2 linked regions of the Oryzias latipes genome follow. The protein of the gene in region 2 interacts with the protein of the main gene of each other region in a biochemical or structural test. Links are inferred from orthologs where the notes say so. Each region holds a gene or a part of one and is shown on either strand. Other genes may lie near its edges. The genes, in order: E3 ubiquitin-protein ligase pellino homolog 1 and irak4.

Region 1 (3,678 bases), on a different chromosome or scaffold from region 2:
TCGTCTGTCCCAAATAACCGGCTCAGGCGTGTGTGAGTCCACTGAGCAGGTGGTGAAAGATTGATGCTACAGCTGTCTGTGAAGCTGCAGGAAGGAGTCCTCACTGCCATGATTTGCTCCTTTAATCAGAGGAGGCGCAGTAAAAAGGCCACACACACACACACACACACACACAAACACACACACTCCTGTCCTTAGCCAGGCTCAGTGATGTCAGCGTGTTTTTCTGCAGCGACGTGCACTCGCGCTCGGAGGACGTTTTCTGGGAACATCAGGAGGGGGCCTGCAGAGTCTAACCCGCCATGTTTTTTACTCCCTGTATTGTATAGGACGGTCCCACTAAAGAGTGTATGTGTTTGTGTGTGTGCAGGTACAATGGCTCTCTGCCCAACGGGGACCGGGGCCGGCGCAAAAGCCGCTTCGCGCTCTACAAGAGACCGAAAGCAAACGGAGTGAAACCGAGTACGGTTCACATCTCCTGCTCCCCGCAAGCAGCCAAGGTAACACGCACTAACACACGAAGAGGCAGAAAGCACCTCACTGCTCCTAAACCTATCGTCTTCATCAGCAGCATTTGACTCCTCCCCCTACCACAAGCACATGGTCCGAGTGTCTCCTCAGTTTTCATGAATTCTGTTTAAAAAAAAGCAAAGTAGTATGAAAAGGTGTAAAAAAATATAATCAAATCAGGCAGAATGGAGGTTTTTCTGTTAATGAAGACATAAAATGAAGGAGCATGTTCCCTCAGCAGACCTGAAGGGCGCGCCCTGCTGGTCGGACACTGTCCCGCCCCACCTTCACTGTAGAGCAGAAAATAATGACTGATTAATCGGCTTCCTGTGTCCTCAGTCAACTTTTTTTTCCTGTTCCATCAGGCCATAAGCAACAAAGACCTGCACAGCATCTCCTACACTCTGTCCCGAGTCCAGACGGTGGTGGTGGAGTACACCCACGAGAGCAATACTGACATGTTCCAGGTGAGACGCACACGCCTGAGAAGTCTGTCGCTGCTGAAAACATTTGAGCCTCAAAACTAAGAGATCATCTTCATCGGCAGAACGTTGGTGTATCGTCAGGTCTTTGATGAAAAACCTGACGATGAATCAGGAAGGAAAACTCAACATATCAAAGTTACATGACCTAAAAAGCATCAGAAAATCACGATATCTCATGTTTTCTATGAAAGATGAACTTAAAACACGAACAGCAAAAGAATTCTGTCCAAGTCAGAAGCATCAGCGGTTATAAGAATTCCCCGAAATGATATGAAAACTTCACACTTTGCCACAGAAAAACGCAGAACTTTGGGCTTTTTTAACCTCATTAAAGTGCACGGTTTCCCTGGCAACCACCAAATTTTAACAGCCTCACTGAGGTCACAAACTTCTGTTTCCCTCTGGTCTCCCACATCGACTCTTAGCTGATCTCACTGCTGATTCCTGCTGAGTCATCTTTCTGTCTCCCGTCAGATCGGCCGATCCACGGAGAGTCCGATCGACTTTGTGGTGACGGACACAGTGGCCGGCAGCCAGAGCAACGCCGACACCCAGTCGGTCCAGAGCACCATCTCCCGCTTCGCCTGCCGCATCCTGTGCCAGCGCACACCGCCTTACACCGCCCGCATCTACGCCGCAGGCTTCGATTCCTCCAAGAACATATTTCTAGGGGTGAGCGGCGCTTCTCCTCCTTGTTGGGGGTTTGACCCCGCCCCTTGGAGAGGCGAGGAGACCCTGATGTCGCTGTCCATCTCTGTTCCAGGAGAAGGCTGCAAAGTGGGAGACGTCTGACGGTCAGATGGACGGGCTGACCACCAACGGCGTGCTGGTCATGCACCCGCGCAACGGCTTCACGCAGGACTCCAAACCAGGCGTCTGGAGGGAGATCTCCGTCTGCGGGAATGTCTTCACCCTGAGGGAGACGCGCTCGGCGCAGCAGCGGGGGAAGATGGTGAGAAGACCGGGCTGCGTTTGCTCCTCTCGTTCGGTTCTGATCCAAACCCGCTCGTCTGACTCACACCTGTTAAACTTGGTTGAACACGATCCCATCTCCATGGCAACCGTGTGTCCGTCACAGCTGAGTGGAACAAGAGCGAGCAAGCAATCCTCAGGGGGCGTCACCAGCGCTCAGCCAATCAGCAACCAGAATATATTTAGCCACACAAACCATCCACTTTGACAAAAAGATCCAATCTGATCCGCTTGGTTCCTGTCGTCACAAACGCGACTGATTGTTAAGAAGTTGTTCTTTCGTTCATAAAAGCTGAAGTGCCTGTGCAGCGTCAGGCCTGTTAGCCTCTGCTTTTTTTCAAGAATTCCTCTAAGTTTAAACCTGTTTTCAAATTTACATTTTTTAGTTTTTCAATGGGCAATCTTGTCTTTCACTCACTTTCAGCTGATCCTGATCTGACCTTATGCTTGAGATCCAGGAAGGATAAAGGCTTTGTGTTGCCACGACAACCTTTGAGCAGCATTACCAGCTGTAAACGTTAGATGAGTTTTCACATTAGATTCAGCCTGAAAGCTGCCAGGTTTGGAAACCAGGTGACTTCTGGTCTCTGTCCTCCTCTCCTCATATCAGGAGAACCATTTTTGGACCCTGACCTCAGAAAGAGTTTGAGTTCAGGATTCCTGTTTTAGCCACCCCCACCCCATGTAAATACATAAATCTAAAGAGGCTTGACAATTCTTTTATGAACTTGTTAGTTTTAGAATTCCTGCAAGCAGCAGGAGGAACACTGAAGATCCCAGCAAACATTCCCAGGATCTGTGGAGGTCACGCTGCCCTCATCTCAGCGTCTCCCCCCCCCTTTCCCACCTTAAAATTAGTCCTCTGGTTTTTCCTGGTTTTTCCCCCACCTGATCTCTAAACCCGGAATTTCCCGCTGATCTCGCTGTGTGGCAGAAAAATTCCTGCGTCCTTCTTGCCATTCACATGTGCACATCTGGATGGAGATGCCTGTGTTCTGCTGCCACCTGCTGTCCTAAGAGTGGTACTGCAGCCTCAAAGCCAACACCTCTGACAGAGTTCACACGTCCAGGTTCTTGTTTAGATATTTTCTGCTTTTTAAGTCATTTTCAGCGCAGAATTCAGACAATTTAAAATGTTGGCGACCTCCTAGATTAGTCTTGGTTTAGTTCTGGGTTTTTTTCAGAAAGGGGAAGAAGTTCAAACTGCGTTCCTCGCTGAACTTCCTGCATGTTTGTGTTCCAGGTGGAGACGGAGTCTCATGAGCTTGTGGACGGCTCGCTCATTGACTTGTGCGGCGCCACCCTGCTGTGGCGCACGGCCGAGGGCCTGTCGCGCACCCCCACCCTGAAGCACCTGGAGGCCCTTCGGCAGGAGATCAACGCAGCACGGCCGCAATGTCCCGTGGGCTTCAACACGCTAGCCTTCCCCTCCATGCGCCGCAAAGACACGCCAGACGAGAAGCAGCCATGGGTCTACCTCCAGTGCGGTCACGTGCATGGATACCACGACTGGGGCAACCACCGGGAAGAGCGGGAGGGCCGTGAGGGTCGGCTCAGGGAGTGTCCCATGTGCCGCGCCAAGGGTCCGTACGTGCCGCTGTGGCTGGGCTGCGAGGCGGGCTTCTACGTGGACGCGGCACCGCCCACCCACGCCTTCAACCCCTGCGGCCACGTCTGCTCGGAGAAAACAGCGGCCTTCTGGAGCCAGATC
Region 2 (3,922 bases):
AAAAGCTAAAGCTAAAGTAATGTTGGGAATTTTGCAACATATTTGAAAACTATTACATTGAAATAACCATTTAAGAGGTATTAATAGTGTTGAGCCCCTTGGATCTACCAACCTTTTGACGTCTCTGTGGACATGATGGTTGGAGTGAAGATACTCCAGTCCTCTAGCTGCCCCTTCGGATATGAAGCACCTCAGCTGCCAGGACAGAGGGGGGCTTCCATCCTGCACGAGCAATCATACCACTGATTTTGATGATGGACAGCTCGGCCTTTACGTATCTAGATGTATGTTAAGTGTTGCATGCTGCTCACCAAACAAGCAAGTCGATCCAGCAAAGATCCGTTTGCCATTAAGGCATACACTATGCACAGATGCTGCTCATCAGAGGAAAATCCAACCATATCAACCAGGTTTTGGTGTTTTAGCCTGAGGAACCGGGTAATAAGACTTTTGTGTTTACTGGTATTAATCCTCTGGCTAAAAGTATATCAAACTTACACTTTCAAAGTTTGAATCTCTTGGTTAAATTGAAGTTGTAAACTTTCCAGCGGCATGTCCTCCATCTAAACGAGACAATATTTTAGAGCTTCGCAGACAGTATCTGCAACGTTTTAAAGAATGTGTTTAAACGATCCCACGTACTGGACTGAGTTTTTTTACTGCGACTAGTCTGCTGTCTAGCAAACCTTTGTAGACTGTCCCGAAGCCTCCCGCACCAATACGACTGCCGCCGTCTGAGATGGACCGGTCATCGAAGTTCCTGGTGATCCTCATAAGCTCTCCGTACAGGAATCTGGAGACACCTAAAGCACGAGTGGTTAAAAAAAAAAAATCAGTGCTGCCATCTGCTGGTCAGATATGCAAACTTGTATTTAGTCATAGGTCTTTTTTTTTTTAAATCAGCTCAATTCCCTTTATACATTCAGAGCTACATATTAGGGACTGCAAGCAATTCTATAATTATTGAAGGAATAAATCGGAATGCATTAAGGGTTTAAACAAAGATCTAGTTTAAGCCTCTACAGCAGTCAATTTCCAAGAGGTAAAATGTTCTGTTGGTTTTTCAAGGATTCTTGTTGGTGCAGAGCAGCCCCACTCCCCTTCCCATCACCCATAACTGAGAGCTGTTTACATAATCTCCCACTAGCTTACAGTCCCTTACACCCCCACTTAACATTAGTGGTGCAACAAAAACAGCGAGCAATAACAGAGCCATCCAGCAGTGCAGTTTAGAGCTAGATGCCAGCTCAGATGAGGAAAACGAAGACAGACATGGGTCTATTTGTCTACAAGTGGATAAACAGAAGAGCAGGGAGTGTGTGGCCTGTCATTGTAAGTTCTACATAACAATTTTTCCAACAGCATTGTTTTTGTCTGCTCCTGATTCACAGTGATTTGAATAAAGACATACCGGTACTCAGAAATGCAATTTTAAGCCCAATATGCGTTATACATGTCCTCCATCAGAAAAATGCCACAAGAATATGTTAAAAACATGGTTTTCCTTGGAGTGGGTCTTTAAGATTTGAACATAGAGTTATAGTTAGATACAGAATCTTTCAGGAAGCCAGTTTAAAATAAATATTTTGTATAGTTGAGCTAAACTGCCATCACCCACTCTTCTACTTACTGTTTCTTAGCCCTGTTATCACTTTAAAATATCTCAATATTTTGCACTGACCTATTTAAATTATTGTTATTATTGTTAATTTTACAAGCTGTGGGTTAAGAGGAAAGAAATTTCATCTGTGCTGTATATCTTGTGTATACAGTATATTTGACAATAAAGCTGACTTGACTAAAATGTGTTCCTAATAATCCATAAGTAATCACACATATCATATAAAACATATCTGACCGAAGATGATGAAATAAGGTTTAGAGAAAACTTTGCACCCACCTGTGTCGTCTCCTCCATCATCCAGCAGTGTTTGTGTCTGCAGGGAGGAGCCAGCAGGTGGATTTGGGGCCTCACCCAGCAGTAAGGTTGGAGGACATTTTTCTGCCTTCACTGAGGATACCTGCTGTGTTTCTTTGGATAGAACCTCTTTGTTGTTCATGTGCAGCACAAATACAAAAAGGAAAAGAACAAGTCATGCCATTTGTGGTCTATTTGTCATAATAAAAACAATAACTCATCCTTTAGCCTGGAGTAGAAAAGAACAAAAACTGTTATTGATCTCACCAGGTAATAGCAGATTGGCAGCAGCCAGGAGGTTTAGACTCCTCAGGATGTCCACCAGTTCCCCCACTGTGCTGTTGGTGGTCCCCCAGTCATTGAGCAGCTCCACGGTGACGCTTTTACCCTGAGCAACAAGACCTTCAAATCTCCTGAAGCAAACAGCGACAAATTAAAAGGATATTAATGTTATTCACAAACGTATAAGGATGGCGCATCACCAATTATTCAAATTGTATTTTTCACAAATGTCTATATTTTCTGAGTTTTAAAAAAAATGCAGCATACTTTATAATTTCACAGATAAAAAGGGAGCAAAAGGGATTGTTATTAGTATATTTAGATAACCATAATATTTGGCACAATGAAAATTTAATTAAGTGCACTCTGTCGCCTTCCTTGTATTCAAACCTCCCCCCCAAACAGTTTTTTTTCTCACCTTACATGATGCTGAGTGTACCTGGGCTCCCCATTCGGCTTCCGTAGGGCCACAATCAGGTCTCTCCAGGTCTCGTAAGGGTCCAGACAGTCGGACAGCTTGCGGCGCAAACTGTAGCTGATGTTGCGAACGTACGTGGCGGAAGTCACCGAGCTGTCCATCCTACGACACGTTCCAAACAAAAGTTCGACTTTTTTCGACAAATTACATGGTAAGCAAACAAGCAACGCTTGATTACGTTCAAAGAAACTCGGGACTAAACGTAAACAGAAATGGTTAGTTTGTTTTCGACTCGGTAAAATGGGGTTTCCGACGTTGAGCAACTTCCTTAAAACGTAATAAAGAGGGGCTGGTCTACTAATCCGCCACCGCCTCTTTTTTTGAATTTTTAAAAAACATTTTGTGTGGTTTTAATAAATACAAGTTCTGACTTTGCTAATGTCCCAGGTACCTTCTGTTCAGAGGTTTTCAAAAACCCCTGAAGCACCCAAAGAAGCCTTTAGTTGTTGTTAGTGTTACACTACTAACATGTTAGCAACATGTTAGTAGTGTAACACTGCCATCTAGTGGACATACCACTCATTTCATGAAAAAAAGTTCTTTTTAGGAATCTTTATTTAAAACAAAAATGACAATCAGTAAGGAACAGAGCAATCAACTGCATCGATTTCTTTTTAAAGATAAAGTTTAAAAAACACAAAAATAAAAGTAAAATTATGTTAATCTATAAATCTGAGAAAGAGGATTTTGATAATAGTTTTTTTGTTTTGGATAATGTAGAGGTTAAATGATATCTCATTTGGGCAAATGATTAAAAGAAATTTGGAGTTTTATTACTTACTTTGGTTTAGTAAATATAATGTTTTGTTAGAAAGATCATAAGATTAATCAAATACAATTGTGACAATGGCTTATTTGTTCATCATCAGTAAACCCAAACTGAATGCTTTTCCATTTCAAAAAGAAATGGGGTTACATTTGAGTTGACTTGACAATTTGCTCCAAACTGATTTATTATACTTACAGGTCAAACATATATGTATTTATGTTCCTTCAAATGTTTTACAAAACATAAATCTCTTTTTAACCTATATGCATGTATTGATTTGTTGGATAAAATCTATGTAATATTTTAAATGACACCTCTTGAACTCACAAGAAATGTTTCAGCAAACGCTTTGCTTTCTCCCAACAAATCTGTCCAAGAAGTTCAGTCCAGAGAGCTACTGCTGGAGATGAAGTTCAGAGCTCATGCTGGAACATTCTTCGGATTACTTTATTTTGAAAAAATTCCCCAAAGTAAA

What was found.
Region 1: of the proteins of irak4 (region 2) and E3 ubiquitin-protein ligase pellino homolog 1, one has a biochemical effect on the other in vitro, tested with the Homo sapiens proteins (4 studies listed by BioGRID and IntAct). The link is inferred for Oryzias latipes from reciprocal best matches to the Homo sapiens genes IRAK4 and PELI1.

The regions. Positions count from the first base shown.
Region 1 is NC_019873.2:11,871,623-11,875,300, forward strand, and holds part of E3 ubiquitin-protein ligase pellino homolog 1, read left to right. Parts: intron 1-370; coding exon 371-500; intron 501-875; coding exon 876-977; intron 978-1,469; coding exon 1,470-1,667; intron 1,668-1,758; coding exon 1,759-1,947; intron 1,948-3,210; coding exon 3,211-3,678. UniProt on the Homo sapiens protein: E3 ubiquitin ligase catalyzing the covalent attachment of ubiquitin moieties onto substrate proteins. Involved in the TLR and IL-1 signaling pathways via interaction with the complex containing IRAK kinases and TRAF6.
Region 2 is NC_019864.2:12,581,506-12,585,427, forward strand, and holds the start of irak4 (interleukin-1 receptor-associated kinase 4), read right to left. Parts: upstream 2,964-3,922; 5' UTR 2,780-2,963; coding exon 2,619-2,779; intron 2,332-2,618; coding exon 2,186-2,331; intron 2,048-2,185; coding exon 1,901-2,047; intron 804-1,900; coding exon 643-803; intron 564-642; coding exon 499-563; intron 427-498; coding exon 312-426; intron 223-311; coding exon 113-222; intron 1-112.